Linked DNA regions of Struthio camelus. The protein of the gene in region 1 purifies or fractionates together with the protein of each later gene. This does not show direct contact. Links are inferred from orthologs where the notes say so. Each region holds a gene or a part of one and is shown in the gene's direction. Other genes may lie near its edges.

The links.
Region 2: the proteins of EIF2AK2 (region 1) and STAU2 purify together in Homo sapiens (affinity purification with mass spectrometry; 3 studies listed by BioGRID and IntAct, with this or other methods). This does not show direct contact. The link is inferred for Struthio camelus from reciprocal best matches to the Homo sapiens genes EIF2AK2 and STAU2.
Region 3: the proteins of EIF2AK2 (region 1) and ADAR purify together in Homo sapiens (affinity purification with mass spectrometry; 3 studies listed by BioGRID and IntAct, with this or other methods). This does not show direct contact. The link is inferred for Struthio camelus from reciprocal best matches to the Homo sapiens genes EIF2AK2 and ADAR.
Region 4: the proteins of EIF2AK2 (region 1) and DHX30 purify together in Homo sapiens (affinity purification with mass spectrometry; 3 studies listed by BioGRID and IntAct, with this or other methods). This does not show direct contact. The link is inferred for Struthio camelus from reciprocal best matches to the Homo sapiens genes EIF2AK2 and DHX30.

The regions. Positions count from the first base shown.
Region 1 is NC_090944.1:102,478,184-102,485,054, reverse strand, and holds the start of EIF2AK2 (interferon-induced, double-stranded RNA-activated protein kinase), read left to right. Parts: upstream 1-3,871; 5' UTR 3,872-4,230; intron 4,231-6,871.
Region 2 is NC_090943.1:129,431,789-129,439,066, forward strand, and holds the start of STAU2 (double-stranded RNA-binding protein Staufen homolog 2), read left to right. Parts: upstream 1-4,255; 5' UTR 4,256-4,394; intron 4,395-4,867; exon of another isoform or gene 4,868-5,003; intron 5,004-7,278. UniProt on the Homo sapiens protein: RNA-binding protein required for the microtubule-dependent transport of neuronal RNA from the cell body to the dendrite.
Region 3 is NC_090971.1:4,355,759-4,363,732, forward strand, and holds the start of ADAR (double-stranded RNA-specific adenosine deaminase), read left to right. Parts: upstream 1-4,962; 5' UTR 4,963-5,071; intron 5,072-5,347; exon of another isoform or gene 5,348-5,497; intron 5,498-6,809; exon of another isoform or gene 6,810-6,812; 5' UTR 6,813-6,909; coding exon 6,910-7,974. UniProt on the Homo sapiens protein: Catalyzes the hydrolytic deamination of adenosine to inosine in double-stranded RNA (dsRNA) referred to as A-to-I RNA editing.
Region 4 is NC_090943.1:1,212,916-1,220,136, reverse strand, and holds the start of DHX30 (ATP-dependent RNA helicase DHX30), read left to right. Parts: upstream 1-4,205; 5' UTR 4,206-4,232; coding exon 4,233-4,425; intron 4,426-7,221.

The DNA.
Region 1 (6,871 bases):
AACTAGATGACTTCTTATGATCTCTTCTGGCCTTGCTATCTCTGGGGAGTACAGGCCCCTGCAGGCCACGGGCACTCCTCCTCCTCCTCCTCCTCCATTTCCGCAGTCAGTGGGATTGCATCTGCACACACTGGCTCTGAATTGGGGCCCAGCCTACCGAATGAGTTGTTACTGTGAAACATTTACCATCATGTCTCAAGACGTGAACTTAAAGGTGCACATTACGGCTATCAGCAGCAGCTTATTTGGTTTGTTGCACCTGTGGTTTTAATCCACGTAGGCTTTTAATGGAAATTCTAGTTTTATGAAATGAAATTACTGATCTTCTGCCTTTGCAGTTTTCTGAACTAAAGCCCTTCTGCTGTTTTAATTTTTGTTACTGTTCTATGTGTAGAATCTCAAAATAACATCTGGGAAATAAAATGCCGATTTTAGTCATTTGTTCCGGGTTTTCTTTCATAGTTTGCAAAAATATCCCTCACACAGGTAAGAAGCTGTTGTTTACTACAGGTAAAATATTTTGTGCCTATTTTTATTTCTTTATGGTAACTGTACATGAGTGGTCTCAACTCTTTGTTTTTCCTGGTTTGTTAATCTGATTACTTTTAAAATTGAAACATTTTCCCCAGTTTGTTCTCTAGTTGCTCCTGGAGTAAAGCTTTTACATTTAGTTCCAGCCCTAGGCCCTCTGTTCTCTGTGACATACCAGCTGCAGCAGCAGCAAGCATAGCTCCAGAGGGCCATATGTTTTCCTTTTTGTTTAAAATATCCACAAGCAGACATTCACTTCCGTAGTTTTGTCTCTTTGGAGGAGCTGAAAGTTGACTGCATTAACCCCCCGAGGGTCTGTAAGCGGTATGGAAGAGCTAGGGCTCAAGCTGAATGAAGCTGTGATGTCTTGTCCGTGTTGCCCACAGTCTCCTTCAGCTCTTCCGCTCGCGCAACTCTTGTTTGATCTCTGCTCCTGTACTTATATTGTACATTCCCTGGGGAAGTGCTTCTCTCTGTATGTGTTTGCAAAAGGTGCGTTTAAGGGGCCTCGATCTACTACTGGGATTTTTGTGCTTCATTACAGTTAAAACTGCTAGTTCTGCATGCTGCTTGATGCCTTCCTAAATGACTGATACTACTTTTTCTTCTTGTGGTGAAGATGAGGGCTATGTTAGCGGATCCTAATCCTTTGGAATTGCCTCCATGCAACAGTAGATACTCCTCTAGGAACTCACAAACTAAATTGTATTTTTAATAGTAATTGGTGCATCATGGAAAAAGTTAAAATGATACAGTCTCATACCTACTTTGTTTAAATGACTGTCTTTCCTTTTGCGGAGTCTCAGAGTGATTTACTTATTTTTATGTAGCAATCTCAATACGCCAACTGCTGGAATGAACTACGAAGCTGTCCAACAGCAGCAAGTAGCTGACAATTCAGGAAGGAAAGTGACAATTCCTATATCCAGTTAAATCAAAATAAAACTAAAATTCCTGCCCCCTTTCCCAAACTGTTATTATAGTATTAAAAGCTAGAATAAATTTAAAAAAAATGATGGAAGAAGTGGTTACCAGAGATAAAGTATATCCATGTCAACCTAAGCATATCTATTTTTCTGGATGTAGATGACTTTCTTCAGGTTATTCGGCCAGTCATTGCTAACTGAACGTCTCCCATGTAAAGTACCTATAGCTGTAGGTAGGTACTGTAGATTCCAGCAACGTCCATAGGTTTTCTGGATATGCTGGAGTGTGGTGGTCCTGTAGTGTTTTATGCCAGTGGGTGCAATAGTCATGAATGCCTTACACCTATTTCGAAACAGAAAATCCTGTGGTAATGCGACAGTTAAAATTCTACTGCAGCATTCATCCGATGCGAACTCAGAAGGAGTACCTCTGACTGAAGGACCAACGTTATTTCTTGCAACTCCTAATTTTTCTTTTGTTCATAAAGTTATGTTCATATTTGCTAGTACTTTTCCTTCTTACAGGCTCTCCCAAGTTCATTAGAGAAGAAACAAATCAAGCTGTCTTGACAGTACAAATGGAAGTAAGCTTTCCTGGCCCCATCTATGTTTGTGTAACTCATGCATGTGTGACACTGGTAAATGAAGCACTAGAACTAAGAACGTGAAACTTTTTTTTTTTTTTGAGGAAATATTTTACTGCATCTCATTAAAATAAACAGTCATTTTAGAAATATATGTAGGGACCATGTCCAGTATGCACTTGAATATGTATATTCTGGGCTCTGTGCCTGGTTGTGCTATTGATCCATGATGTGGCTTTGGGTAAGTTACTTGTCCAAGTTACGCATGCAAACACCCATTTATCCACTCTTCATTTGGCGTGTTTATTGAGATTATAATCTGTTTTGGATTGCTTACCTATATGAGCCAAATAAACAGATGCACAATACTAACTGGGAACTGTTGTAATATAAATATGTACTAAAGACATCAGGCATGAATATGAATGCACTTTTTAATCTACCAGGCATGTATAAACTAAGTTCAGGTTTCTCATTCTTGGATAAAAATATTCAACATGGCTGATGAATTTTCAGTGCCCAGGTGGTAGAAGTATTCATATCCTGTTCAGAATAAAGTGGCAAATCAGCAGAGTGAATTCAACGAGTTACTTGTGTTTTTCCAATATTAGAAGAGGATCGTTTATGAAGGAATGAAAGTCATTTGTAAAGCTGCTGACTGTGGCTCTGATTAAGGATGGATGATTTTCAGCATACTAGACCAGCTTATATAGTGCAGTATGAAGTCATATGTGAAGTTTTAAAGCAGTAAGAAAGCTAAGATGTTCAAAACAAAAAAAAAAACAGTGCTTTTATAGCAACGTTGTTGAAGGACAGCAAGGAATTCATATAAAAGCGCTGTTACATATTGAACTTTGGTTTCGCTACCGCCAGCTTTGGACTCAGCAGAACACATGGGTATTGGCACTTGCAAGCAGCAGAGCGTTCTGGTGAAACCCTAGACAGGATGTATCAGCGGACACTGGAACAAAAGACCAGCTTCGAGGGTGTGCATCCACGATCGCGTGATGTCCTCTTAGTTTTGGAAGTATTTGTCTTACTAAAGAGTAGTTTCACTTGATTTGTCCCTCTGCAACCTACCTGTGAAGTGTTGGTGGCGCTGAAGAACATGGCAGAGCTGCCCCCGGACGTCAGGGAGACCCAGGCTTTGTGCCAGGATCACATTTTTTAAATGTACCCACTTGACATGTGCTTTTTTAAGTTCTGAGACTTTATTCTGCTTGTTACGGTAGCACACCTTTGGCCCCTTTTATGGCCATTCCTGAGTGACCAAAGGTCTAATTCATGCAATGAAAAGGCAGGTGTTTCCAGCTGCCCTGGTAGAAGTTCAGAGCAATAGTTAAGGAAAAAACCCAAACAACTGGGCCTGTATGGTCATTCGAGAAATACTTTTAATTAGTTGTCCAGCAAACAGAATTTCTTTAAAGGGCATTAGTTTGCTCTCTAGGGGGGACCTTTATGAACGCTTAGTCTAACCCATTGCACACCAGAGTTTTTCTCCAGTCACACCAAGCATTTAGATTATACTACTTATTCCCTCACTGTGACTCGTTTCTCCGTCTGGAAAATGGGGGTGAGAGTCCTTCTTCCAGCCACGTGGGCTGGTTTGAAGGGGTACATGTCAGGCTGTGAGGCACAATTCTCCGTAACGGGTGCCACTGCGCTGCTTGAACAGATCATCAAGCGCGTAGGAACCGTCGCCTTCCCAGGCTGGAATTGCAAAAGGGGGAAGGCAGTCGTAAGATTTTTCAGCCAAACGTTAATTGGTTGGGGAACGTACACAGGAGCAAGCAATAAAATAGGTTTCAGGTTTTCAGCCTCTTTTACTCTTTACATGAGCACTTGAAGAGCTGTGAGGGGACACAAAGCCTCGGGAAACTGCACCCTAGCTGCAGTTCTCGGTGTTTTAACTCGCAGAGGCCCCGTGCAGCAGGAGAGCTACCCCGCCGTTGCACCAGCAAGCGCCGCTGTGAGAAGTGGCACCAGCTGGGATGGCTCACGTGGGGCCTGCAGCTGTGGGCCTGGTGGGAACGTCCTAGCTGTCTCTTGAGAAGAATTAGGCTGTGTGTTGGCCTGTTGTTCATCTCCAGGTGAAGGACACTGGTCACCTGGGTGCTGCTCTGCTACAGGAGATCGCTGGAGGAAGGGCTGAGGTTGCTGCTGCCACCGGCATAGAGGCGAAGGATGGGGTGAGTACCACGCGCTGCGGTGTACCTGCCCTCGCGCTGGTGCCACCGCATGAGAAGGGGAGTGTTTGCAACCCACATAGCGCTGTGGGCATTACAGCGGCTGGTGTTTCGTAAATCCGTGGGTCTGTTCTTGGCATCTGCCGAGATTCACTTGAAAGAGAAAATCCGGAAGCTCTTTGTAGGAAAAGTAGCCAAAGGTAGGAAGGGTTTGTGGCCAGTGCTGTCAAGGGGGTGCGTTAAGGCTGAAGAGCGCTCCAGACCCACCACGTCACCCTTCGGGGTTGCAGTGCCCGTCGCAGTTAGGAAGGACCCACTGTATCCCTCCGCTTCTGCGCAGGGCTCGTGTGTGTGCCAGTTGACAGTGAAATGAAAGATGTTTATTTTTCTTCTGTCCTTGCTTCAAAAAGTGCATTTCAAATTGTTCACATCCTCAAAATTATATGGAGAAATACGAGGTAGAAGACACCTGATGCTTCAAAAGTGTTGGCTACCAACTGTCTTCTTGTGGGAAGAGCTCATTACTTTTAATCAAGTGTTTGCAGATGCTAAAATCACACTAAAACGCTGGTGGGAAAACAGCTTTTTTTTTTTTTTTTTTGTGGCATATGTTTTAACTGCCAGCGCCTTACTCAGTTTGCCCAGGAGGAAACGATGTTCCCAGCGCAGCTAACATGCTGCCTGAGGGAGCTGTCGGAAGCGGTGTGGCTGCCCGGGGTGGTGGCAGCAGCTGCTGCGAGTGCGCACGGCCCCAGCGCTGGCAGGGCTCTGCAAGAGCTGCTGGGCTGGTTCCCAGCAGCTGAGAGTCTCTTTCACTAATTTGCAGTCTTGAACGCAAGCAAAGGGGTGCTGTGTTTTTGTTACGCTGTTAAAGGTTTGTTTAAAAGTAACCGTAAATTTAGACCAGAGAAGGAACTTCAGTGAAGGAGCTCTTCTTACATGAGTGAGCAGCAGAACAGGAGCAAATGGTTAACGTTTCTGAAATGGTATCAGATAAAAGCAGACAGTCTGACTGGGTTCATCTGCCCGGCAATGTCCTGATTTGTGTGTGTTATGCTGGATTTACTTTAGTACAAATGACGCGTATTTGGGACTTGGTTCTCTCTCATTTTGAATGCCAAGCTGCATTTGCATGTAAAAGGGAATGGTGATTACAGTTCCTGTGTTTGCCTGTGTATATACCTATGTGTGTCTCTATATATGCAAGTATATATACACATGCACAACTTAACAGAGGAATTGAAACAGATACAATTAGCTATATTTTGTAGCTGCAGTAAGCAGCTTGGTTTTTTTGGCGAACCTTTTGAAATTCCCGTCCATAAGACACGTAGTGAAAATATAAGAAAGTAAGAGCGGAGGAGAAAGGCTATAAAATCACGTGAAGGCAGAAGCTAATGTCTGGTAAGAGCAGAGTTTAAACTGCTTCATGAAAGGGAACTGACAACACAGCTCAGCTCTGAACTGGACCTATTTCATGGGCCCAGTTGGTACTGCCTTTGAGAGGAAGGAAAAGGAAAATATGTGTAGAATACGAGCTGTTGCTGGATACCTTGTCAGCTGGAGAGGAAATGCTAGTTATAATAGCCCTGCTCGATAGTGCAGACGCTCAGCTTGGTACAGGGCAGTCAGTTTCCACTGGAATTCCTTGATGTATTTGACTTGGGGTAGGGAGATGATAGGAGGAAAAAAAAGGTTTTTAAAAAATGTAAATTAATATATTAGCATTCTTTGACTTGGCTTCTTGACCTGTGAGCCTGTGAACTCTGAAGGGTTTACTGAGTCAGTAAACTGATAGACTGAGCTGGTTCCCTGACCATAGGACATATAGCTGTAATCCGTATCCCTGGGGCATCATGTCTGCCTCTGGTGAGTCTGTGTTTGGGAGTGGGGGGATAGGAGGTTGAGCTTTTGTTTGTGGGTTTTTTGGTTTTTTGAGGGGTTTTTTTTTTTGGTAAGTCAGAATTGTGATTTGGAGGCAGAGATGCTCAAGGAGGTTTACCTAATAACCATTTGTGGAATGCTTGACTTCCTTTAGTTTCTTGAACTCGGTACGCATTCACCAATCAGTAAATTCAAAGTGAATGCAAAAGATGTAGTGCAGAAAGGCTGGTCCAAAACTAATCAATGGACTTGAAGCTATCTTCCAGGATTTTCTTTTCCAGTAATCAGCTGTTGGAACAAGAGAGTGTCCCTATGTGGAGGAAGAGGAATAGAAAATTTCAGGCAAGACTGAAACAACCCATTGGGCATTAGGTACAAGGAGATTAAAGTGCCAACATGTTTTCTTAATTGCTGTCCAATTCATTCTCTTATCTCAGTTCCAGTGTAGGAAACTAGAAAGGATGTTTTCAGTGACAAAGGAAAACGGCGCTAGATTATCCCTGGTTTCTGCACTTCCGAGGTGAAAGCTTGCCTGGGACAGGGACTGGCTTCCTTCCCCTTCTCCCATTAGTGAGTGTCTTTGCAGAGAGTGCAGCCTTTGCAGAGATGGCCGTGAAGCCATCACTCTGCCTTCCCCCTCCTCATCCTGCTCCCTAAGCATGCAAGCGAGTGGAGCTCAGTTAAAAGACTGCGGGGGAGACCTGAGACTGGAGCAGGTGTGGGTTTCCTCTGTGTTTGGTGATACTCCCTTTGGGACGTG
Region 2 (7,278 bases), on another chromosome or scaffold:
CTCAGAATGGCTGTAAAATCTCCATCTTTGGAGATGCTCAGAACTCAACTGGACAAAAGGCCCTGAGCAACCTGTTGACTTCAAAATCAGATCCAACTTTGAGGTGGGTCCTGGTTTGAGGGGGGGCAGAGAAGGTGGTGGACCAGGTGACTTCCCGAGGTCCCTTCCAACCAATTTTTCTATTTCTAATATACTAATTAAAAACAGGTTCCTGTGTTGGTGGTACTGCCATTCTTCTCCTCTTTCTTGTTAAATACATCACGGAGTACACTTTCTCAGCTTGTTGCACCAGTGTATACTGAGGGGTGGGAACTCATTCCATGATGGCGTTTTAAAAGCCATTTTCAATTCTAATTTGTCAGTAAAAAAATTAAAATATTTTGATTTTTGGAAGACAGTTTGAAAGTACCAAATTTTTTTTCCTACATCTGAGGTTAAAAATGACAAGGCCAAGTGTTTTCAAGTATCCTGCACTCATATATATATACACGTATAGAATGAATGGAGTACTTGTCTCTTACATCCCATTTTAGGCTTTCTGTTAGCGTATTTTTCATGCTTTCTCTCATTAATAGGGGTGATTAATCCAGTATGCTGTTTGACAACAAATCACCTACTAAAACTCTGTATCCATTGCACAGTAATGAAGTGGAGCAGATGCTTATACACAAAATAAGCATTTTTTTTCTTCCCAAGGCATTCTTTGTTTATATTAAGCTGTCCTGAATGGATGTACTGACTAGCCTTTATCCCGTATCTCAACGGTAAGAGGGGGGGGAAAAAAAAAAAAAACTTTCATGAAGGTACAGTAAATCTAAAGAATGGCTAGTAACTTGACTCAGTTGTTCATCTATGTAAAGCTCCAAACATGTAGCAGAAATTTATTAAACAGCAAAACACAATCACAGATTTTATAATGGTCATAAAATATTTGATCCTCTGTTTTATCACTGAATAATACTAGATGGAGAACTCACTAGTTATATGGTAAGTTTATGGATAAAATTCATTCTTGATTATTCATAGGCTTTTTTTGTATTTCTAGTTTTCTTTCAGCTATATATACCATTTGTGACACAGGATATGTAACCAAGATTTCAGTTTGCTGAGCTGATAAAACATTTCAAGTAATCCTAGAGGTATAGATAGATATATTTTTAAACTAAGCAGCTGTGCAGTAGGCAGTACTATTAATTATAAAAATGCTAAATGCTCAATTTAAGAGCACAGACTTCAGGTTTTAGGGACTTGTTGGAACGTTATCCAACTATTGTAGAAAGGTGGGAAAATTTTCCTTATAATCTGATGCTGACATTCCCTGAATGCATTTGTACTCCAGGTACGTCGTTATTCAGTATAGGCTATAACATAAGGTTGCGCATCAAGTTACTAACCAGCCCATTAGTAAAAATTTTTATAGACAAAGTGATGATTCAGCAATAAGAAGAAACTTTACTTACATTAAAAACTTGTAGGAGGCTTATGAAAAGTATTTGCAGTATTAGCTATTACTAGATGACATCAGAAGAATACATAGGAAATTGTATTATCGATTATGTACTTCTGAGCTCAGTTTTTAGATGAAATGAAATAAGGGGGTAAGGAATCGCAGATGCAGAAAACTAAACAAAGGAGGAATAAGAAGGGAAGGATGTCAGGTTACCACAATTGAAAAAATAGGTGTATATATACAGCCATGTCTTAACTGCTATGTCCCAAAGTGTATTCAAACAAGTTATAAATCTCATGTTAGTGTTCTGTTACTACGAACAAAACATTGATATCACTTAGCTCTCCATAACAAAAACCTGTTACTAGGTGAAATTACATGTCGTTGACATATTGTTTATTTCCTATAATATACCAAATTATTACCAAAAAAACATCTGGGGTGATGTGCTATTAGATTCCAAGTGACTATACCATTAGCATGTGGAAAGCCTGACAGGCTACTTTTTTTTTTCTTACTCTCAGCTGTCATAGCAATTCACTACTTGTTTTCAAGTCATGATTTTAAAACATTCTCATGGAGTAGCATAAACAGATTTTGAAGGATATATGACTCCTGAATTCATTCTGATCTTGAATAAATATCTGTGTTGTTCTGACATTATCCTTGCGACATCTAATGTTCTAACTCTCGTAGCTATCATTAAAATATAGTTGTGTAGTAAAATAACGTAGACAGCTTTCCCCAAAACTACTGGTTTTGTTTTGAAACATAAAGGGTTTAATTTGTGCAGAAATTACTGGTCAGTTTTATTTGATCCCCGATTTAAATGAAGTTTTTGGTTTTTTTCTCTCTCAGAAATCCTTTAGCCTTTAATCTCTCAATTCTGTATACAGCCAAATCTGACATTACTAAAGTGCTTTCCATTTTATTTCTTCTGTCTAGATCTGCCTTCTGCAGGTGACATATGCAAAGACCTGCAAGATGGTGACAGAGTAAATGTGTTGTTACTGTAAAATCACAGCAATGTTGGTCAGAAGGGAACTCTGGAGGTCATCTAGTCCAGCTTCCCACCTGAAACAAAGCGATGCAAAAGCCATGGCTAACTTGATCTGCTTTATCTAGCTGAGTCTTGACAGCCTATGGATGAGGACTCCACAGCCTCCCTGGGTGGCCTGTCATGCTGCTCTGCCACCCACCGAGTGAAGAGGTCTTCCTCAACATTCAGCCTATGCCTTCAGAGCTGTACCGTGCAGACAGTGCTCCTGGTTATCCCCTCCCTTAGTGTGCCTGTAGGGGAACGCCCAGCAGCTCAATCAGTTAGCATCTTCTTCACCTTAGGTAGCTGGTAGAAACATGATGTGACCTAAGAAATTATCTAATTCTGCACAGAAGAAAATGTTCACATCTCAGCAATCACTTGTCTCAATAGCTTCGTCTCAATTTTTATTGAAGAATGCAGTAACCTCCTTTACTGTAGTTTTTACTGGAGTCTTTCAAAAAGATAGTAACATTAAACTTTCTACTCTACCTTAAGTCCAGCGCTTGTAAATCTCTTTCAAACCCCCTAAAATAGAAATGCTGTTCATATAAATTGTTTAAATGTTTCCATGGTGTTTTGACTAAATACAAAGCCCAGGTGCATTATCCAGTAAAACTTACTAAAACTAGTGAAATGTGTAGTATATTATAAAAATGAATTACTTTTTCGAGCTTAATATCAGATATAGTCCACTTTAAGCTTACTGTTGTTAGATTTGCCAGAGCCCATTTCTCGGACTTTTTAGGCCCTCAATCACTATCCAGGATGAGTAGCATCTTGACTAAAGAGCTACCGAAGGTGTTAACTGTGCTAAGGTCCTGTTTTTAATACAGCTTAAAAAAGAAAAAGCACCTCTGATAATGATTTCTTAGACCGAAAAAACATTATTTTTCATCTGTTTTCTTGTCCCATGTCTATAAAGCAGTTCTCAATTCTTCCTAAAATACTCATTGAAAAAATTATTGTGAAAAGAGCAGTAAAGGAAATGAAAAGCCCAATTCTTCTGGGAGAGTTTGGTTATGAAACTTAGTTCTTGCTTGTGAATATAATACATAAGTTCCAGTTTCTGCACCCGTAAGATATTACAAGCTCAATGCAGTCCCACCTGCCCACTAGATTCTTCTGACCTTTGCCTTCCTGTATGTCATTTGTTTGAATGATGTGGCCAGGTAGCAAGTGCCCCAATCGGTAGACTATTTGGGGGGGGGAAAAAAATGTATATGCTACTGATGGGAACAAGTTGTGGTTAACTTTTTGCCTTTCTCTCTGAACTGTGGTCTTTGAGAGCAAAGGTGGCAAGTAAAACTTTTGAGTGTTACGTGTTCTGAGGTAGATTGAGACAGAGTAAAACCAATGGGAGAACAGACAAATCCTATTCCGTTTACTCACTTTTACTACGTTACTGCAAGCCGATAATATATTTTCCCTTACGTTAAGTCATGTTGTTTTGCTCCTTGTTCTTCATCTGTCTCTAGGAAACATCTGTTTCATAAAATCGCCAGTAGGGGTCAGGTCTCTGCCAACAGAAAACAGAGGCAAAATCTTGCAAGGCAACGTATAAAAGGAAATAAGAAGCTCGCAACTCATCTTGCGCGGGGCGAGTGAGATGATTGCCAGCGGGGCTCTAGCCAAACCTGCTTTATTTCGGGGCTCTTCGATGTAGTGAAGTTCACGGACCTGCGAGGCGGAGAGCGGGGGCCGGGAGCCGCGCAGCCTTCGCGCAGCGCATGGTTTCGCCCTGGCACCACTTTGCAGGCTGCGCGCTCCCCGTTTCTTCGCTAGTTTCCGCGAAGCGGTTTGATGCCAGCGGCTGACGCCAACCCGCCTTGGGATCATCGGCCTGCGCGGCGGCGGGCCGGGCCGGGCCGGGCCAGGCCGGGCCGGCGGCTCCTGCCGGCCGCGGTGAGTATCGGGGGCGCCCCGGGGCGCGGCCGCCGCCCGCCCGGCGGGGGCAGGAGCAGGAGCAGGGCTGGGGGGCGGCCCGGCCCGGCCCGGCCGCTGCCGGCCCTGGGGCAGGCCCGGGGTGGGGGGGGGAGCCCAGCCTGCGCGGGGGGCAGCGGGCCGGCCGCGCCGAGCGGAGCGGGGCAGCGCGGCGCGGCGCCCCGGCCCGCCGCCGCCGCCGCCTCGCGGGGCGCGGAGAGGAGCGGAGCCCGGCGGCGCCGAGGCGAAGCCGCAGCCACCGCTAGGGGCGCTGCGCGCGGGCTGGCAGGCCGGGGAAGGGATGCGGACGGGGCCATTCGCGCTGTGGGAGCGGGGGGGGAGCGCAGGCCCGGGCGCGGCGCGGGCGGCCCTGCGTAGGGGCCGGGAGCCGGCGGCGGCGGCGGCGGGCGAGGCCGGCGGAGGGCGAGGGGCGGCGGGTGGCGCGGCGGCGGGGCGGCGCGGTGGGGCGGCGGCGGGAGCGCGGCGGGGGGGGAGGCGGAGTGGTTGGGGCCGGCGGCGGCGGCGGCGGGGTCAGTTCTCTTTAGTGTTTGCCGATGTTGGAGGCGTCTCCAAAGTGTCCCCGGGAACCAGGTAACGGAGCCCGCGGCGGCGGCCCGGCGCCCCGCGGAGGCGGTGAGGGGAGGGCGCGGGACGGCGGGAGCCGAAGCGCCGGCGCCGGAGGGGGCTGCTTCGGCCATGATGTCCGAGTCGCCGTCCCGTTTCCCCCTCCTCCTCCTTCCTCCCTCCCTCGCTCGCTCCCTCCCTCCCCTCGCCTGCCGCCGGCGCGGCGGCCCCGCGGGGCGCTGGGGCCCGGGGCTGTTGGCGGCGCGGCGCGGCGCTGGCTGCCGGCCCCGCCCGCCCCTCGGCGCCCTCTCCCCCAGGCCGGGAAGGCGCCTTTGCGCCACAGCGCTGCCCACCCGCCCGGGTGTCGCTAGCTCCTGGCGGGGATGGAGGAGGAGGAGGGGGCGGCGGAGGAGGCACCGGCTCCGCCATGCGTCGCGGGGTCCCCGCCGCGGGGAGGGGGCGGGCGGTGGCCGCGGGGGGGGCCGCAGGTGAGCGGCCGTTGCGGCGGGTGGGCGGGAGAGGCGGCCCCGCCGCGGGGACCCCCCCCCGCCCCCCGTTCCTCCCTCCCCTCCACCTCCCCCGGGCCGCTGGCGCGGGGGCTGCGGCCGGCGGCCCTCCGCGCCGGGCCTGCTTCGCGCCTGAGAAGTAGTCGGCTGCGACCTGAACTCGGCTGCCTCTGCTCGGCCTGCCGCCCTCCCCTTGCCAGGGCGCTCTTGGAGCACCCCCCCACACACCGGGTTTTGGCACCCCGGTTTCGAAGAGCGCGGGTGGCAGTTGGCTGCCAGCAGGCGTCTGGTGATGGGTTTCAAAAATCCTCACCTTCAGTCAACGGCACGGACTCCTGTAGTTCGGTGGTTGCGTTTTTCTACCTTTTCTTGCTTGCCGTCGCTTTATTCGTCTTGCGCTTTGCCCAAACTTTGTCCAGGATGGTAAAGTTTGCCAGCAGGACGACACTCTCGTGCTCCCAAAATGGATGTCAACGTTTCTGCCGTGAAGCAGTTAACCGGCGTTCAGGGTGCATGGTGCTTTCAGGGTTGCTTCTGAGACGGGGTGAAACCCAGAGATAACGCGTTCTTTACTAAACGAGCTGGTTAGAGTTACGCGGACATTGGTTCGTGTTTTCCTGGTGTCCAGGTCCTCTGATTAAAGGGGGGGGGGAAATAAAAAAAGTGCACCTTGGTTGTAGGCAGGCCTAGAACTCACAGCCCAGCTCTCCCGGAGCAGCTTGGGTGCTCGCTGCGGACTGGGAGCAGGGGAAGCAGCAAAGCTGTTCGTCTGAAAGGTCGCGGGGTACTACCGTAAAAGTCAGTGATACCCAAGCAAAAAATTACCCTGAAGCGCATCTGCCTAATGTTGCCCTGTGGCCAACAAACGTGCGGCTACCAAGGCCCCGTTTGGAGCGTTCTTTTTGCAACTATTATAGTACTAAAAAATAAAAGTTTGTGTTATGCAAAAGAGTAGGAGGCACGTTACTATTGTAGCTCTTCTTTTGTGTTAAGCACTGTGTTGAACAGTACCTGAAAAAGGTGCATAAATAACCCAACATTGCAGGGTACAAGTAAGCTTGCCTTTGGTGTAAGTAGGTTTAGTTACGTTGTGCTTGTGTAAGTGGACGTACGTTGCTATGTCTTACTTACATTACTAATGTCATCAAGCTGTGCAAGAATAAAGTCGTCTTGAGCTGTGTAGTAACTCCAGGTTAGGAATCTACACCAGTGTAATAGCATTACTGTGTTTAAACCATTTTCTAAATATAGGCAAGACTTTTTTTTTTTCTGTACAGGTTTTGTTGTGACATTACTGCCTATAAACAGTGCTAGGCTGACAGCTTTCTGAATGAAATCTTTTTTCGAAGGAGCCAGCAGCAGAGTAAGATTTCCAGTACTGGTTCCCAGTCACTGAACATTGTTAGCTTTGCCCTGGAAGATCTGCTGCAGAGAGAGATTTCTGTTTGTCTGTGTGTTTGCTACGTTTCCTATCGCTGTCTACTGGGAACTGGATTAAGACTGCCTATTTGTTCCTAGCTCGCTTCTGAGGGGAGGGAGCAATTCAGAATTTTTTTCTTTTAAAGCGAACTTTTCAGTGACATTGCTCAGTTTGGTTTGCAGTTCAGGTTCAATTCAGTTTTGGGTTTGGAGGCCAAAGTCTTTATACGTCTTTTTGTCAGCCTAAGTTACCTAGCCTCCCAACAGTAATGTCAGAATAATAATGAATTAGAATAATCTTTTATCCTGCATTGTGTAAGTGGTTTGTAAAAGAATTTAGTAATTTTGTGTTCAGCAAAACTTAATCAGAGGTGCTT
Region 3 (7,974 bases), on another chromosome or scaffold:
CGCCAGGCCTGTATTGATGGCGTTCACGTCCCTTTGTGGCTGTCCGAATGAAAGAGCTAGATCGACTTGGCGCAGCCGGTTGGCCTGGCACTCGCGCGGCGAGAAGGGCTGCTCCGCAGGGGTAAGCTGTAAAACACAGCGGTAAATTACAGCTTCCCACCTAAACGGGCATTTCTGAATTTCCTGCTGGGCAACAAGCACCATGCTGAAGCAATGGCAACCATCGCGAACCGGCCAGCGGCGGGGGCTTTGCTGCAAAACCTCCGAGCAAGCTATCGCCTCTTCTGCGATAATATTTAGACGAAGGAGGAGGCCCAGGCCGAGGAGCTGAGTCTGCTTCCTGGAACTGCTGCCGAGAAGCCGCTCGGTGACAATGCAGCACTCACGCCCACTCTGCGCCGAGGGGAGCGATTACACAGATCAGAAACACCAAAGAATCAAAACCATAAAATGGCTTCTTCTTGTTGTTGTTTTTTTTTGTTTGTTTTTTTCTTTTCAGAAGTGCTCAAGGTCTGGCCAGGTGTTTGCAGGGGTTGAGTTTCAGCGTGCTTTACAAAGCCACCACCTAGCCCAGGGGAGCGAAAGCGGCACCAGCCGAGTGCAGAGCAGCCCTTGCCAACGCATAGCCTGTTTTTAAAACCATGCAAGTGCTTGAACATCCTTTTGAAAGTCAAGAGGAAAAAGAGAAACAGGGAAAGTAACTTCACTGAAAATGAGACTCGGGGCTTTTCATGAGCATCACCCCTTCCACTAATGCACCAAAGAGGAAGCTATTGCTTGCAGTGTTAAATATCTTCTTTTGTACGTCGGTGTCTGTGCTTAAAGCTGTCTGTAGGGGACAGCCAGGTCCCTGCCCCACTGCCGACCCTGCAGCACCCGCACGCCGTGGGGCAGCGATTGCAGCATGGGAACGAAGGACCCGGCCGGCATCGCCGCAGCGGCATCCAGGAGACGTAAAGCTGCTTCCCCGGGAAACTGCAAGCAACCCCAAACGCATGGGGGCATTTGGGAAAGTTGTGAGCAGCCAGGACACAACCCAGCAGCTGCTTTTCCCTTTGGTCAGAACGTGGGAAATACAAAGTTAAACTCTTTTCCATTACAACTGCATTTTGGGTGCTACCTCGTGAGCAGTTTCCAGATGAGGTCAGGCCTAGGCACGGAGGCAGGACCCTCCGCAGGGACCCCCCGCACGGCCGCATCGCAGCCCTCCGGGGCGGCTCCGGGCACGTGCGACGCCGGCCTGGGGCTGACGGGGCCGGCCGGTGGCTCCTTCCGCTCTCGCTGCGTGGAGCAAGGCTGCAGAAGCTGAACATGAGCCCCGCTTCCAGGCGCCCAAGAGGCACTGCCAGCCCTGCCCTGCTCCCTGCTGCTCCTCTCCCTCGGCGGCTGCGCCAAGCAAAGCCGCCGCAGGGCCGGGGAGGACGCTGCCCGCTCCAAAGCTTGCACTGAATGTTTTGGAGAGCAACAGGTTTTGTACTAATTAAAGAGGAATCAATTAGGCTGCGAGATATTCAGCCACCTGGTGCCTCTGACTATTTTTTCCTCCTCCTTCTCTTTTTCCTTAGTGTGCTGCTGCTGCCTCTAGGGAAGTCATGAAAGAAACAAGATACGTTCCAGTTTCTTGCTTTCTTTAAGATTAAAAAATGCTGTTTGTGAGGAAATCTGTGCCGACCAACCAATTAAAGCACTGTATATGTCCCTGAGATTTGCAAACAGCTCTCTCCTCTGCCATCCATCATCCCCTCCAGCCGCCCTCCTGCCTCTCCCTCTACGCATGTCACTGATCCACAGCTCTTGGCTCCGTCTGTTGGTTTGCACGGTGTGAAAAAATATTCTACAGTGAATAAAGACTAAGCAGCGAAGAAGGTGTAATGGGATCCCGTGGGAGGCACAAAGCAGTCCTACATGCGAGGAAGCCCTTCGGAGACCCGGCTGCGCCAGTCTTTCCCTCGCTAGACGACCCGTGATGCAGTCTGTGCTCCAGAGCTGCGGGGGGAAAAGGGAAAAAAGGGGGGAGTGGGGGGGTGGAGAGCAGCGGGTTGTCTCTCCCGCCGCCTCTCCAAGCAGCTCCTGAAGCTTGTGGCGTGCTGACCTTGGAGAAGGTGGTGGGGCAGCAGGGAGGCTGAGCTCTGAGGCAAACGACGCAAGTGAGGTGGATAAAGACGAGGCGCCGGCATCGCGCCCTCCGCGGTGAGGGGCGGCAGGGCAGCAGGCAGGGGAGCGCTGCCCGCAGCCCCCGACCTCCCCGGGCAGCCGCACGGCAGGCGCTGCTTTCCCCGCTCCGGAGGGATGCTGAAATCCTTCGCGTTTATCAGAGCGCCCGATACAGCCCTTCTCCCAGACAAACCAGATTTCATCTTAAATATGAAAGGGAGCGGCCGAGGGCAAAGGGGGAACTTGCGCTGGGTGGTGAAGACTGAGCGAGGGATGCGGAGCAGAGCGGGCGGACGCCGGGGGGATGCTCGCTGGACTCCGGGATTCGGGAGGGTTCATTAACCGATTCGCTCTCTGGGAGCTGCTGCATCAGGCGCACTAATTCAGAGCGGGCTGACAACAAGCTGCTCCTCCCCTCTGATCCCCCTCCCAGAACAAGCGCAGCTAGAGACGCCGGGCGCTCGGCCCAGGAGCCCCGTCCGACACCCGGCAGGCGCATGCACTTCGCCCAGCCACTGCCCAGCAGACGACAGCTTTATAAGGAAGAGCCTGGCGGGGCTGGAGCGGCTGGCGAGCCAAGCCGCGGAGAAATGCCAAAGCCTGCGACGCGCACGGCTGCAAAGGAGCAAAGGCCAAGTGGTGCTTTGCTGAGGCGGCTCCGTCCCGAGCCCGGCTCCGAGCTGGAGCAGCCCCAGCAACGCCGGCACCGGGCCTGGCCGGAGCGCTGCAGGGCAGGTCTTGCCTCGCAGCCGCTGCCATGCCTATAAAAACCTGACGGACGGGACCACGAGCGTCCGAGAGCGAAGGGTGCGGGCGGCTGCGCGCTGCGCTCGCGTGGCATCGCCTGCACAGCGCTTCGGCCGCCCCTCTTCGAAGCGGCGCGCTGCCTTTTGCCATGGCGCTCCCCACCGCCGCAGCTGCCGTGGGAGTCGGATCCGGCTCCTTCTCCCGGCACAGCTGTGCTGCCGCCCGCACCTGCCTTTCCGCGCTGCGCTGCGAAGCCACCCAGCACGGAGCACGTTTGCTCCCGCGTGGGAACGTCGCCGGGTCCTTGGAGCAGGAGCCCGCCGACGCGCGGGGGGCCGAGCAGCGCAGGGACAGCGGCGCTGCGGGAGGAGGCAGGGAGTTCCCCCGTCTCCCCTCCTCTCCGCACCTTGAGCTCTCATGAGTAATTGCTGCTGACGTTTCCCTAGAGAACAGACGTGGCAGCTGCTTTGGCGTTATCAAAGCTCAGGTTCAGTCCGCCGCTGAGCAGCGAGGCACCTCCAAAGGCAAAGCTTATGCAATGCCCTGGATAGCGCTGCTGCTTTCCCCGCCTGGGAGCCAGCCCTCGGGGACAGGAGCAGGCTCCGGGCGGCAAAGCTGCCTTCGCAGGAACCAGCACCTTCCCCCGGTGCCCGGACTCGAGCCCTGGTGAGGATGCACTGGGAGCAGCGCCCCAGCCTCGGGACGAGGCAGCGTTTTCTGTATTTGAGGAAAATACGGAAAAAATATTTCCATGCCCAAGCTACCCTGAACACGGCCGGACAGGCTCGCTCATGCGTGCTCGGGCCGGTGGCATGCATCGGCTCATCCGCGCAGAGCTCGGTGTGTGCCCCGCGATGGTATAACAAGCATGCACTAATAATAGTTCTTCAGGCTGATTAATTGCCCCAAGCTCATGTTTAAAAATGTGTCGCCATAAACACGCTCCTGGATGGGCCCATCGAGTTACCGTCGCAGTGTTTATAGCTATAATAAAAATACTTGGGGAAAGAAAAATTTAAAGGCAAACGGAAGGCACAGGAGTGCTGGAGGTTTTCCGCGCTGGTTCGCAGCTTTGCACCTGCAGCCAGACGGGCCCAACGGAGGGGCAACGCTGCCCGTTTTGGAGGACGCAGGAACCCGGTCAGCGACTTCGGCCCAGTTCCTCGCTCTACATAACAGAAGCCTGGAGGGCTTCACGGGCACTTTTGCAAAAAGGCCAAAAACTACTTGTACCTCCTGTCTCAGCAGCGCCGAAGCAGAGCTAACAACGCGCACCGCTCCCAGGGCTGCGCGCCGCTGAGAAAAAAAAAAAAAAAAAAAGGCAGGCGGCTGATTTAGGAGAGTGACCAAACGTCCCCCTTGCAAGCAAGCGGGCGGCTGGGCTCTGCCTTGTAGGGGGAGGCTGGCTCGGGAGCGAGGAAGCGGCGTTTCAGCGCGCCTGCTGCACAGCGGCGCAGAGCCAGGGCTGGGCTGGCGCCGGCGGCCGGGGGCTGCGGGTTGTTTCGTCCCGTTTCGCTTGCCGGGGGGGGGGGGGGGGAGCGGGGCAAAGCAAGCGGGCACCGGCCGGTGCCTGAGCGGATGCCGCCACCGCGCGGGGAGCGGGCGGCTCCGAAAGGGGCTTCGCTCGGCTCGGCGGGGCCGGTACCGGGTGGGGGGGGGGGCAGGAGCGAGGCCCCCCGACGGCTCTGCCCTCCCCGACGGGCTGCCGGCGATGCTGCAGGCGAAGGGGTAAACGGATCCCTGTTTCCTACCCCCGCACATCCGTTATCCTCCCCCCGCCCCGGCCCGGTGCGAACGGACCCAGCCGCGGCCCGGCGGCGGGCGGCTCCCCGGGGCCGTCGGGGCTGCCGGCGAGAGGAGGCGGCGGGGCCGCCGGGACGCGGCGGCCGGCGCTTTGCGCGGTCCCGCAGCACGTTGCTACGGAAACGAGTTCGGCCTCTGCCCGGTTTCCCACGAACCCGGCGAACCGGCAGCGGGACCCGATCGGTCGCCGCGGGGGGCGGCGGCGGCGGCGGCGGGAGAGGGCGCATGCGCGGCCCAAGGGCGGGCAGCTGCCCTTCCCAAAGATGGCCGCCGCGCGCTGCCCAGGAGGGGGCGCGGCGCGCAGGCGCGGGCGCGTCATCAGCCTGCGCCGAGTACGGGACAGCAGCGGTGGCGGCGGCCGTAGGGGGTAAGGGGCGGCCCCGGTGCGGGGGGAGGGGGGAGCCCGGTGGGGGCGGCGGCGCCCGGCCGGGGCCGCTCCAGGGTGCCGAGGCCCGGCCGGAGCAGCCGAGGCGGCTCCAGGGTGCCGAGGAGCGGGCGGGGCGGCCGCACCGGGCCGGGTCGGACCGGGCCGGGTGGGGAGGCCGCGTTGCCGCCGCGGGCCCGGCGGGGTGGGCGGGCGGGCGGTACCGGGGCGGGCGGCTGCTCGGCGACGAGCTTACCGGGGCTGCCCGCCTGGAGGCGGAGCCTCGGCCGCGGGCCCCGGCCGGAACCGAAACCGAAACCGCGCTCGCGGCGGTGCCCGGCTGCCTGCTGCCCCGCCGAGGGCCGCTCTGCAGGGCCTGGGCTTCCCCCCCCTCCCCGTTTTCTAACAAAATAAATGGACCGAAGGGAGGTAAGAGCGGTCGTGAAAACCCCCGTTCGCTGCCCCTGCGGTTTTCGGTGTCCTGGGTGGCCCGGGGGGTTGCTTTTAAGCTTAGCTCCGTGGGGAGGGCCTGGGTGCTGCTTCCTAATTTCCTCACTTCCTGCGCCCGTGGCAGCTCCGCCGCTTGGATGAGTAAAAGCAGTGGGGGTGGTGAGACTGGAGCCTGGCCTTGAGCTTTGTTTGGTTCTGCGCGCAGAGTAGCCTTTACAGGCATTTGGGCTGCTCCAGTGTTCGGTCGTTTTCAGGAGGTAACTAGTTGGCTTGCAGCCTGCCTTGTTTCTCTCCTCGTTTTGGCCGTTTGACTGTTGGTTCTCTTACCTTCCACCTATCGATCGCACTTAGCATCTGGCTGCGAAGCTCCTCTTACATTATCACGGTAATCTCTTTATGAAGATAGGTGACTTAAACAGGTCACCTGGAAAAAGGTAGGATAGGATGCCTAGAAGAAGGTATCAGATGCATGTTTGTGTCCGCTGAGTTTCATATTCAATTGTTGCTGAAGGGCTAGAACATATCCTGTGTGTGTTTTTTTTTTTTTTTAAAGCACATTAAGCTTATACCCCATCCCCTGTAGTTCTGGGGGATGGCACGCCTGTCAGCGATGTGAGAAAATTTGGTTTATGCTCCTGAAAGACTTTTCATGCCGTTACCAATTGGAAACCTATCCAATTTCTCTGTATGTTATCACTTTACTTGTCCCATTGTGTGAGACTTCATAGGTCACACGCTGTCCAGGAAGGAAAGGACATTTGGGGTTTCAGACTTTCAGTCGTGAGTCTGACATCGTTTCTGAGCCTGTTGCAGCCCTGTTCCCTTCCGTGTGCCTGCACGCTGCTTCATGTCCTTGTGCCTCTCTTTCTCTATATGCAAAGTGTATCTGTGATTCTTGCTTCTCTGAGGGCTGAGACATAAAACTCCCTCGTACTTTGGAAGCGCATTGTGACTCTTAGACAGAAGGCATCATGAAAAGACAAATAAAATCATCTCTGTGCAGTTGGCTTGAAATTCAGCCCAACAAGAATGAAGGGTTAGCGTCTCTTATTAAAGCTGTTTCTTGTAGTTAAGTTCACCTGTGATTCCTGATGGCTTGCGTTTATGCTGGGCAGACACATAGTTTGCCGTTTGTGTTCGTATGAACAAATTAGACTTGCTAGAAGGAAGGAAAATATTGAAGAGGTGAAGGTGGTTGAAATGCCTTGGTAGCAAGGGAGCTGGCTAAATTGCATTTCTAGACTCCTGTAATCACGTGTACAGGTTCTGAATTCCTGCTTTTTCTTTCTAGCAGGCCTCTCTTCAGGAGTTGAGAGTGAAGAGTGAATCACGGCCACCCTTCTTCTGGTGTGCAAGCAGCCCGATTCATCCTTGCATTCCAGCAGTGCGCTATGAACAGAGGCATCGGTCGAGGCAAGGGCTCGTATTCTACCCATTCAAGACGTAACTGGTCCAGCGCTAATCAAGGTTTTTCTAACCCGCCTCTTGCCCCACAAGGAAATAAACGGGACATCTTTCTAAACCAGCAGAGGCAATTCCTAACAGGCCAGGTCACTGAAGCTCCTGTCTACTTACTTCAGGGACAGAGGTTGCTCTGTGAACCACACGCCGGAGGCTTGCAAGCTGTGGCACTGGTTTCTACAGAGAGATGGCAAGTCAGCTGCAACGAAACAAGATGGCCTAGAGCCTCCAAAAAGAGCCAGTGTGTAGGAACTTTACCACGTTACTGCCCTCCTCAGTACCGCTGTCAGAACTCAGAAGGAGATTCTGACACCATCAGGCTGAATTTCCAGAGACTATCTCTTGCTGGGCAAAGTCGTGAAGAAGAAATTCTGACTATTTTCAGGCAGCTTGGGAAGGGGAAGACTTGTACAGTTTATGATCTTGTACGTAAACTTAAAACTCAAAAGAAAGAAGTCAATCGTGTTTTGTATAAACTGCTCAGAGAAGGCAAGCTGCACAAAGGTGAAGAAACGCCGCCGCTGTGGAGGATTGCCTACCCAGTTGCAGGGAGAGAAAGAAGCCCTGCTGACCACAGGGTTTGTCATACAGCTCCAACTTTTGAGATCAAAGGAGAAGAAAGCAGAGCAGGTGGCTCAGGAGACATTGATCCCATAATGGCTGAGACTAAGGATAAAATCTGCAACTATTTGTTCAGTGTAGCAGACACAACAGCACTCAACCTTGCCAAAAACATTGGGTTTTCGAGGGCCAAGGATGTTAATGCCTTTCTTGGTGCTCTGGAAAAGCTGGGAGATGTCCACAAACAGAACACAAGCCCCCCACGATGGTCTCTTACAGAGAGGAAGCGCGAACGGATGCAGATGAGGTTGAAGGCCAATGCAGTAACGAAAACAGCAGATCCCACGCCAGAGTCAGATTTTCCACCTTCCTCTATTCCTCCCGAACCACAGGAGATGACGGTAGCTTCACCAGCAGGAACAACATCAGAAGAA
Region 4 (7,221 bases), on another chromosome or scaffold:
TTGGCAGGATATGAACACCCAAGCTGAAGTGTGATTGAGAGCTATCAGCTTTATCTGGTGCTAAAGACAGTTAGTTTCAGAAATACTAAATGCTTTAAACATCTCAAAGGAAATACTAATTCTAACTTCCTGTTTCTTTTTGCTACCTCTTGCTTTCCTAGGAATCAAAGCTTTTCGCTGTAATGGAGATGTTCTCGTTGGATTCCCTTAAAGGTAAGGACCTGAGAGAATCTTCAAATCAACTACTATTTTTTCTTTGTCCAGAGATTTAATGCTGTAGCAGCTTGATGCAGAAAACTGATTTGTGAGAAATAGCACTGTCTGTTTCTGTGCTGCATAAATGAGAGGTTTGTCCTACGACTGTCTTCATTTGTCAGACTTCCCTCTCAATGTATTAGAGACAAAAAGGAAGTGGATATAAATATGACTATACCTGCACTGGTGATAGCTATGTAACGTACAGTGCCAACTTCTATGTTTGTGAGACGTTTCTTATCTCCAAGGGGAACCCTGCATTCAAAATTTGCCCTTTAGGTATAAAGCTGTAGTTGTTACAATCGGTGTAATTCAATTCTGTCTTGGTTAGCCTCCCAGGTGAAAAAGTGTTACATGAAAGTATTGTTACATTGAGTACAAGAGAGAATTTCAGGGAAACAACCAAGTGCAGAAAGGGGAAAAGACTCGTCCTATCATCCAGTCTAACTTAACGACAAGGTAGATTTGCTCCCTATTGTTTAGCTTTAAGTAGTCTTCTGTAAGTTTTTCTTCTTTTCCTCCTTTTAATTTCATCCTCCCACACATAGCTATATCCTTTTGTACCACTTCAGTAAGTGCTTTCCCCTTAGTGTTTGCATACTTCAAATATTTGTCAACTGTTATCATGTCCTCTTTTCCTGTCATTGCTTTGCCAACATCTTTATTTAGAACTTCTTAGATTTTTTTAGTAAGTCCCTCCAGTCACTGGCCATTGGTATTTTGTTTTGTTTTTGTTTTTTGACATCCTTTTCTGAACTCTGTAACTTGGCCTTAAAATAAGGTGCCTCGAACTGAATGAAATATTCCAGATATGGCTGAGTCAGTGAGGGATCGCTACCTCCCTTCTTGGCAAAGTAACGCTTGTACTTCAGCGCTTGGGGAGCACAACAGTGCACCAGCCATTCTTGTAATGCTGCCATGCTAATAAAGCGAGTCACCAGGACTTGTGGGGACCGCATTTTAAAAAATGCAAAAAAAGCCGTCGTGCTTTGTATGTCCAGGGTGTCAATCATGTGTAGAGCAATCTTAGTTGGAAGCAAAAAGCCTCTGACCTGCCAATTAAAACGTGACCTGGATGGGAGCCTGGGAGAGTGCAGGCACTTTTCCTGTGAGGGCTAGTGGTTTGTCACAGCCAGACTGGGTTCGGGACTTTGGGTGCTGTACCACGTCTGCTTTGGGAGGAGAGGAAGTCTTTAAGCTACCGTAGCTTGTTAATAGGCTTCTGTGTAGCGCTGCTGCCTTTGCAAAGGCTTGGGTAAAAATGAGTGAACCACTGCTCACCGAAGTAAGCCTGAACTGGCAAAGCCTGGGAAAGTGGCCTTAAGCTATTATTTATATGCTGTTTAAGTCTCATCACTGCAAAATAAATATATTTGGATTAAAATTATGCCACCTGTGACTTCTGGAATTTTTTAATAAGTTGAGTCTTAACTATTTTTTTCTTTGATCATAAGATAATTTTTGTATGATTTATGGTGACAAACTGCTAGCCCTACTCATGTCTAACTTTGCATGCATCACCACGCTGACTTTCAGCATCTTCTCCCAGATTCCTCCTTCCCGTTGACTGTGTGTTTCCAAGAGTTTTCCAGAGATGTGTGCTCTATTTATCTCCTTTTGTTTGTTTTGCTTCTAATCGTTGTGCTCTACAGCCATGTTTTTCATCATCTTCAAGTTCTTGTTATCACTTCTGTTTCTTCACTGATGTTCACAACTTGAAACAGCTTAGTAGCTGTGAGTTGCACTGATGGACAGCTTTCTTACCTCCTCTCGGTCTTGAGAAAATGCTAAATAAACAAGTTACTGTATTGAGTTAAGTAGTTTCACAGTAGATTCATCTTTCCAGAAGTGCATATTGACATTTACCTAGTATCTCCAGCCACGCTTTCATTTTAGCCCTCTTTGAAGCTTTTGTTTACGAACCAATAGGGTTTTTTTTTTTTGAAAGTAAGAGTGCATGCAACATACAATCAAAGATTTACATACAATTGATTTCCTTAAATTGGCGACTTGTCTAGCAAGATTGTTTTTCTTTTTAGTGTAGTGGTGCTCTTAATATTTGTAATCAAAGCCTTTGTCAATTAAGTAGCAGAATAATTTTCACGTCTTTCTCAGAGACATGTCTACATTTGTCTTGTGGTTTTTCTGGTGCTGCTTGAAGATCTGTTTTTGAGTTAAAAAAAACTGTACGGAGACAAATCACTAGCTTATTCACAGAGGTTCTAACAAGCGTGTATAGTGAAAAAGCAAATGATATTTGTGCAGTAAGATTTTTTTCACGTGTTTGTGCATGTGTTTGCTTCCAAAGATTTTTTGCCTATGTAGGGTTTTGTTTGCTAACTTTTCACTTCTCAAAGCTCTTCTTGTGGAATAGAGGCTTCACAGAACTTACCTAATTATGCCAGTTAATCTTTTTGTGGTTTATTGGAGACTTCTCTTTCTGATATTTAAAAAAAAATCTTACTCTTTCATCATGATGTTTAAGCAACCGTTCATGTAAAATTTTGGCTTACACACAAGCTATTCACTGAATAATAGGTTATTTAACATAACAATCACGTCCTCACAGCTTAATGCTAGTCTGAGGCGTGCGTTGTTAGTATATTTTAATTGCTTAAAAATAGTTGATTTTTTTTTTAATAACATTTCCCTGTAGTGTTTGAAATTCACTCCAGCACTGAGAACTTTGCTCGAGACATCTAGTCATTCACATAGAAGGAAAGAACAGGAGTCTATTTTAAGTAAGGGGGAAATGTGTAAAAAGGCAAAACAGTGTCTAGCAGTGTAAATTATTTTAAAATTATTGGTGTTTATCTCAAATACGCTGCGAATGGACTTTATGGTTTGTTACAGATACGCTTGAATGCAAAATGTAGTCCGTGTGCGTCTAGGGGGTTGAATGTGTAGTTGAGAACGAATAAGAAACCCTTCACGACTTTCAGGTTCCAGGTGGTTTCTGAATTTCCCGTTGCTTTTGCAGTTGCTTACATTAAAACACCGAAAGGTTGCTTTGCCTGTAAACGTGCAAGACATTTATGTGCGCAGGAGTGAAGCTGAGGGTATCCAAGCGCTATGAAAAGCATAGTAAAAATTGCATCTGCATTTTTCCCTCTGATTAGCGAAGGTTAGTAACGATGGTACAAACAAAATCCGTATCTGGAGGAATGGCCCGTGGCTTCTGTTTGCGGTTTCAGCACCAGGTTGCCCTGATTTCTGAGCCAGCGACTCACGGTCGCGGTAAAGTTTGAGCGCGTACGAAGACCTCCCCTTTCACAGGCCTCCACGAGTCCTGCAAGATACCCATCCTTTGAGACCGTCTAGATGTGCGTTGCCTGAACTATCTGGTGTTTGGGCAAAGGCTTGCGTTTGCTGTACTGCTTCCCTTTGCAACGCGCCCGCCGGAGAGGGAGGAAAACCGCCTTCCTCGGGGTGGGACGGCGGGATGAGGCGAGCGCGGCCGCCGGGAGGAAGAGGAAGAAAAGGCCCTTCTGCCGGGGTAGCCGTGGTGCTCCGCCAGCCTGGCCGGAGAGGCGGCAGAGGAGCCTCCTCGGAGGTCCGGGGCCCCCAGAAAGCGATTTCTCCCCCCCCCTCTTCATCCTCCTCTTCCCTCTCCTTCCTCCTCCATCTCTTCCTCCTCCTCCTCCTTCTCGGTGCTGTCTCACAGCCCCCCCCCGGGTGCGGGATGGGGGTTTGGGCCGTGCCGCCCCGGTGCCCGCCTCCGGCCGTGCCCAAACTCCCCCAAAATTACCGTGACGCCCCCCCCTCCCCCCCGCCTCCCTGCCTTCCCCCCGGTGGGGACGGGGGGGGGGGGGGCCCCGCCGCGCCGGTCCTCCGCGCCGGTCCTCCGCGCCTGCCGCGCGCTGGGGGGCGCTGTGGCGCGCGGCGGCGTGGGCGGCTCCTTCTTGCCGGCGCCCCGCCCGGCCGCGTCGTTGTCGTCGGCGCCCCTGCCCGAAGCCGGCGCCGGGCAGTGCCGCAAGATGGCGGCGCTGGGGCTGCTGCTGCAGGCGGCCGCGGCCTGCGGCTCGTCGGCGCCGCTGCGCCTCTGCCGCCGCTACCGGGCGGCGCCGGAGGCGCGCGGCCTCTGCACCCGGTTGCCGGAGTGCGCCGACGAGGCGCGGCCGGAGGAGCCGGGCGCCGAAGAGGAGGAGGAGGAGGGCGCCATGGTGAAGGGTGAGCCGGGGGAGGGGGGAAGCGGCGGCGGCGGCGGCGGCGGCGGGGCCGGTGCTGCGCTCGGCGGGCCGCGCACGCAGCGGAAGGGAGGAGCGAGCCCCGCTGCCGGCGGCTGGGAGGAGGCGGCGTGTGCGCGCCGCACGGCCCTTCCCCGCCCCCCCCTCCCCTCCCCTCCGCGCCTGGCAGCCGCCGCCACCGGCCTCTTCGCGCTGCGGCCGGGCCGGGCCGGGCAGCGCCGCCGCCGCCGCCTCGAGCGGGCGCCGGGATGCGCGGCAAGGGAGAGGAGCCGGCCGGCTCCGCCGCCGCAGGTAAAAGGGCCGCCGCGGGCCTGTGCGGCGGCGGCGCTTTGTTGCCGGGAGCGCGGGGTCCCCCCGGTAACGGGCGCTCGGGGGCCCTCGGCCTCAAGGTCGCGGCCGTGCGGCCGGAGCCCTCGCCGCGCGTGGCCGGGAGCGACAGCGGAGACCCCGCCCCAAAGGCTGCGCGGTGGAGCGAGGCCGGCGGAGCCCGGTTCCGCCCGCTCCGGGAGCGGGACGGGGGCAGCTCGTCGCCTGGCTTGATCGCCTTCTGCGGGCGGGGGGGGATCGGGGCTGGCCTTTGAGCAGGTAGCCCGGCTGCCCCGGTCGAGCGCAAACGTGGAAAGCTTTTGTTAACGTAGCTTCTCCTACTCGTGCGTCTGGTGGAGGATGGTCTCGCGGGGCATGAGCCCTTCAGCTGCGCGGGGAGAGGCGCGGAGTCTAGGCATCGGAAGGGGGAACGCGTTCCTGCTGTCCAAAAGGAGCCGTTGCGACTTTTTTAAAAGGAAGCAGCTGAAAACGTGCTTTGGTTTTGCCTTCTGATGCTTGCCTTCGCCTCGCCTCTGAGGCGTGAAGAGCGCACCTGGTTTAGAAGGCTATGCCTGGTTTTGCGCTGGTGCTTCCTGGTTCTGGGCTATGACTTACGCTACTACTTTTTTCCATTCTAAAATAGCTGGTTCTCGTGTAAGGTTGTTTTTTTTTTTTAATTTTCTCTCTATAGTTTCTGAATTCTTTGGGATTTGAGTTCCGTTTGCTTTCCAGAAGCCTTGCTGTCCTTTGCCTGTAGTTCAGAGTCACGTAGTCTTTGACTATTGTATTCATCACGTGCAGATGCAAATTCGCTTACTTTTAAGGTAAATGCTGATGCACACCAAATTACTGTTTAAAGAGCCGGTTCAGGTGGTGGCTAAGAAAGATAGTGAACTGATTTGTTTTCCTTTTTATACGTTGTTTCTCAGATAGCACTTTCTCTAACAGGCGTTTTCAGAGGGTGCTTGAGTACCTTATCTCCGGGCCTCAATTAACTTTTCTGCAGTACCTGTTTTCATTGGTGGATCTGGTCCAGCGGCTCACAGCGCGGTCTGGTGTTGCGGCTCTGCCGCGGTGGGTCGATGCGTTCTGTGACATCACCCGGAGCCCCGGCAGCCGCGTGAGGAACATGTGGGAGAGGCTGCTGGGATTGGCCTCGTCCCTCTGATTTCTGTACAGAGGATTGGCCATGCAAGGCTCTTCTGGTGAGAGTTCAGCAGTAGCGAAAGGTTCGTTTCAGGTTAGCGAGTAGAGCGTCCTCAGCGTCTCGTTGGAAGTCTGTTCTACCCGTCACTTGAACCTGTAGAGATCGTAAAAGTTACTTTAAGAACCTGTATACAAGGGCAAGTCCTGAGCCTTCAAGTTGTAAGCTGATGTCCTGTTAGCTAGCCTGTTTTGATCAGTTTTGTTACTGGCCTTGGATACCATTACAGATATGGAAAAATCAACTCTCATCTGAGGTTAGCCTAAAAAATTGCAGTGCTATATAGGTATTTACATCCAAGGCTTCCTGTCCATTGGGCTTGGTGGTAGGATTTTGGAGCAGAATCTATGATGAAGATAAGCTTCTCTGCCTCCTCTGTCACGTCTGTGGCACTTCTCACTTTGAGACTTGCATGAGCTTGACCTCTGTTTTGCTCTAAGGAATCTTTGTCCATGGGTGGTTAAATTTGCCCACCTGTAGAGTCACGGAAGAGTTTAGGTTGGAATGGACCTCTGGACAACATCTGGTCTAAGCCCCGGCTCAGAGCGGGGCCGGTCTGGATCGGGTTGATAGAGGCTATGTCCAGTCAAGCGTTGAATATCTGCAGGGACAAAGATCTGACATTAGTCATTCTGGTTCTCTGATGTGGTAATCTCGCTTGCTTTTGAAGAAGCCTTGTCAGTTTTACTGATTTTTTTTAAGTTCTTGTTTAGGCAAGAGCTGTGTGCTTTTTTACTAATATGCATACTTTGAAGGAGCCTTTATCAGAGTCCCTTGATGACATTTAAAAAAGGAAAAAAGTAATATTGTTTTGGTGTACTCCAAAATGAACTGCCAGGTGGACTGATTCTCTCTCTCTCTCTCTCTCTCTCTCTCTCTCTCTCTCTCTCTCTCTCTCTCTCTCCCCCTGCTTCCCTCCTCAGTAAAACGTGCCTAGGCTAACTCCTTATGAAATGTGCATTATGGAGCCACAAGGCTTTCCTTCTTGTGAATTTTTGAGGCATTAAGAGTATTCTTCTGAGATTGATTTATTACAGTGGGGACCTACATCTTGATGAGTTTTACGTTTAATAGCTTGTTGTGGTTGCTCGTTTGTTGCATCTCCAGGGAAGAGGATTTGAGGGAAGATAGGAGCTGCTGAGATCGATCTAATGCTCCTCTTTCTTCCTTATACAAAACTATAGGTCATTTTATTTGTTCTCTTTTTGGACCTGAGGATGTTTTTACTTGTCAGATTTTTGGGGGTTAATAGAAGGCTTCACCCTCCCC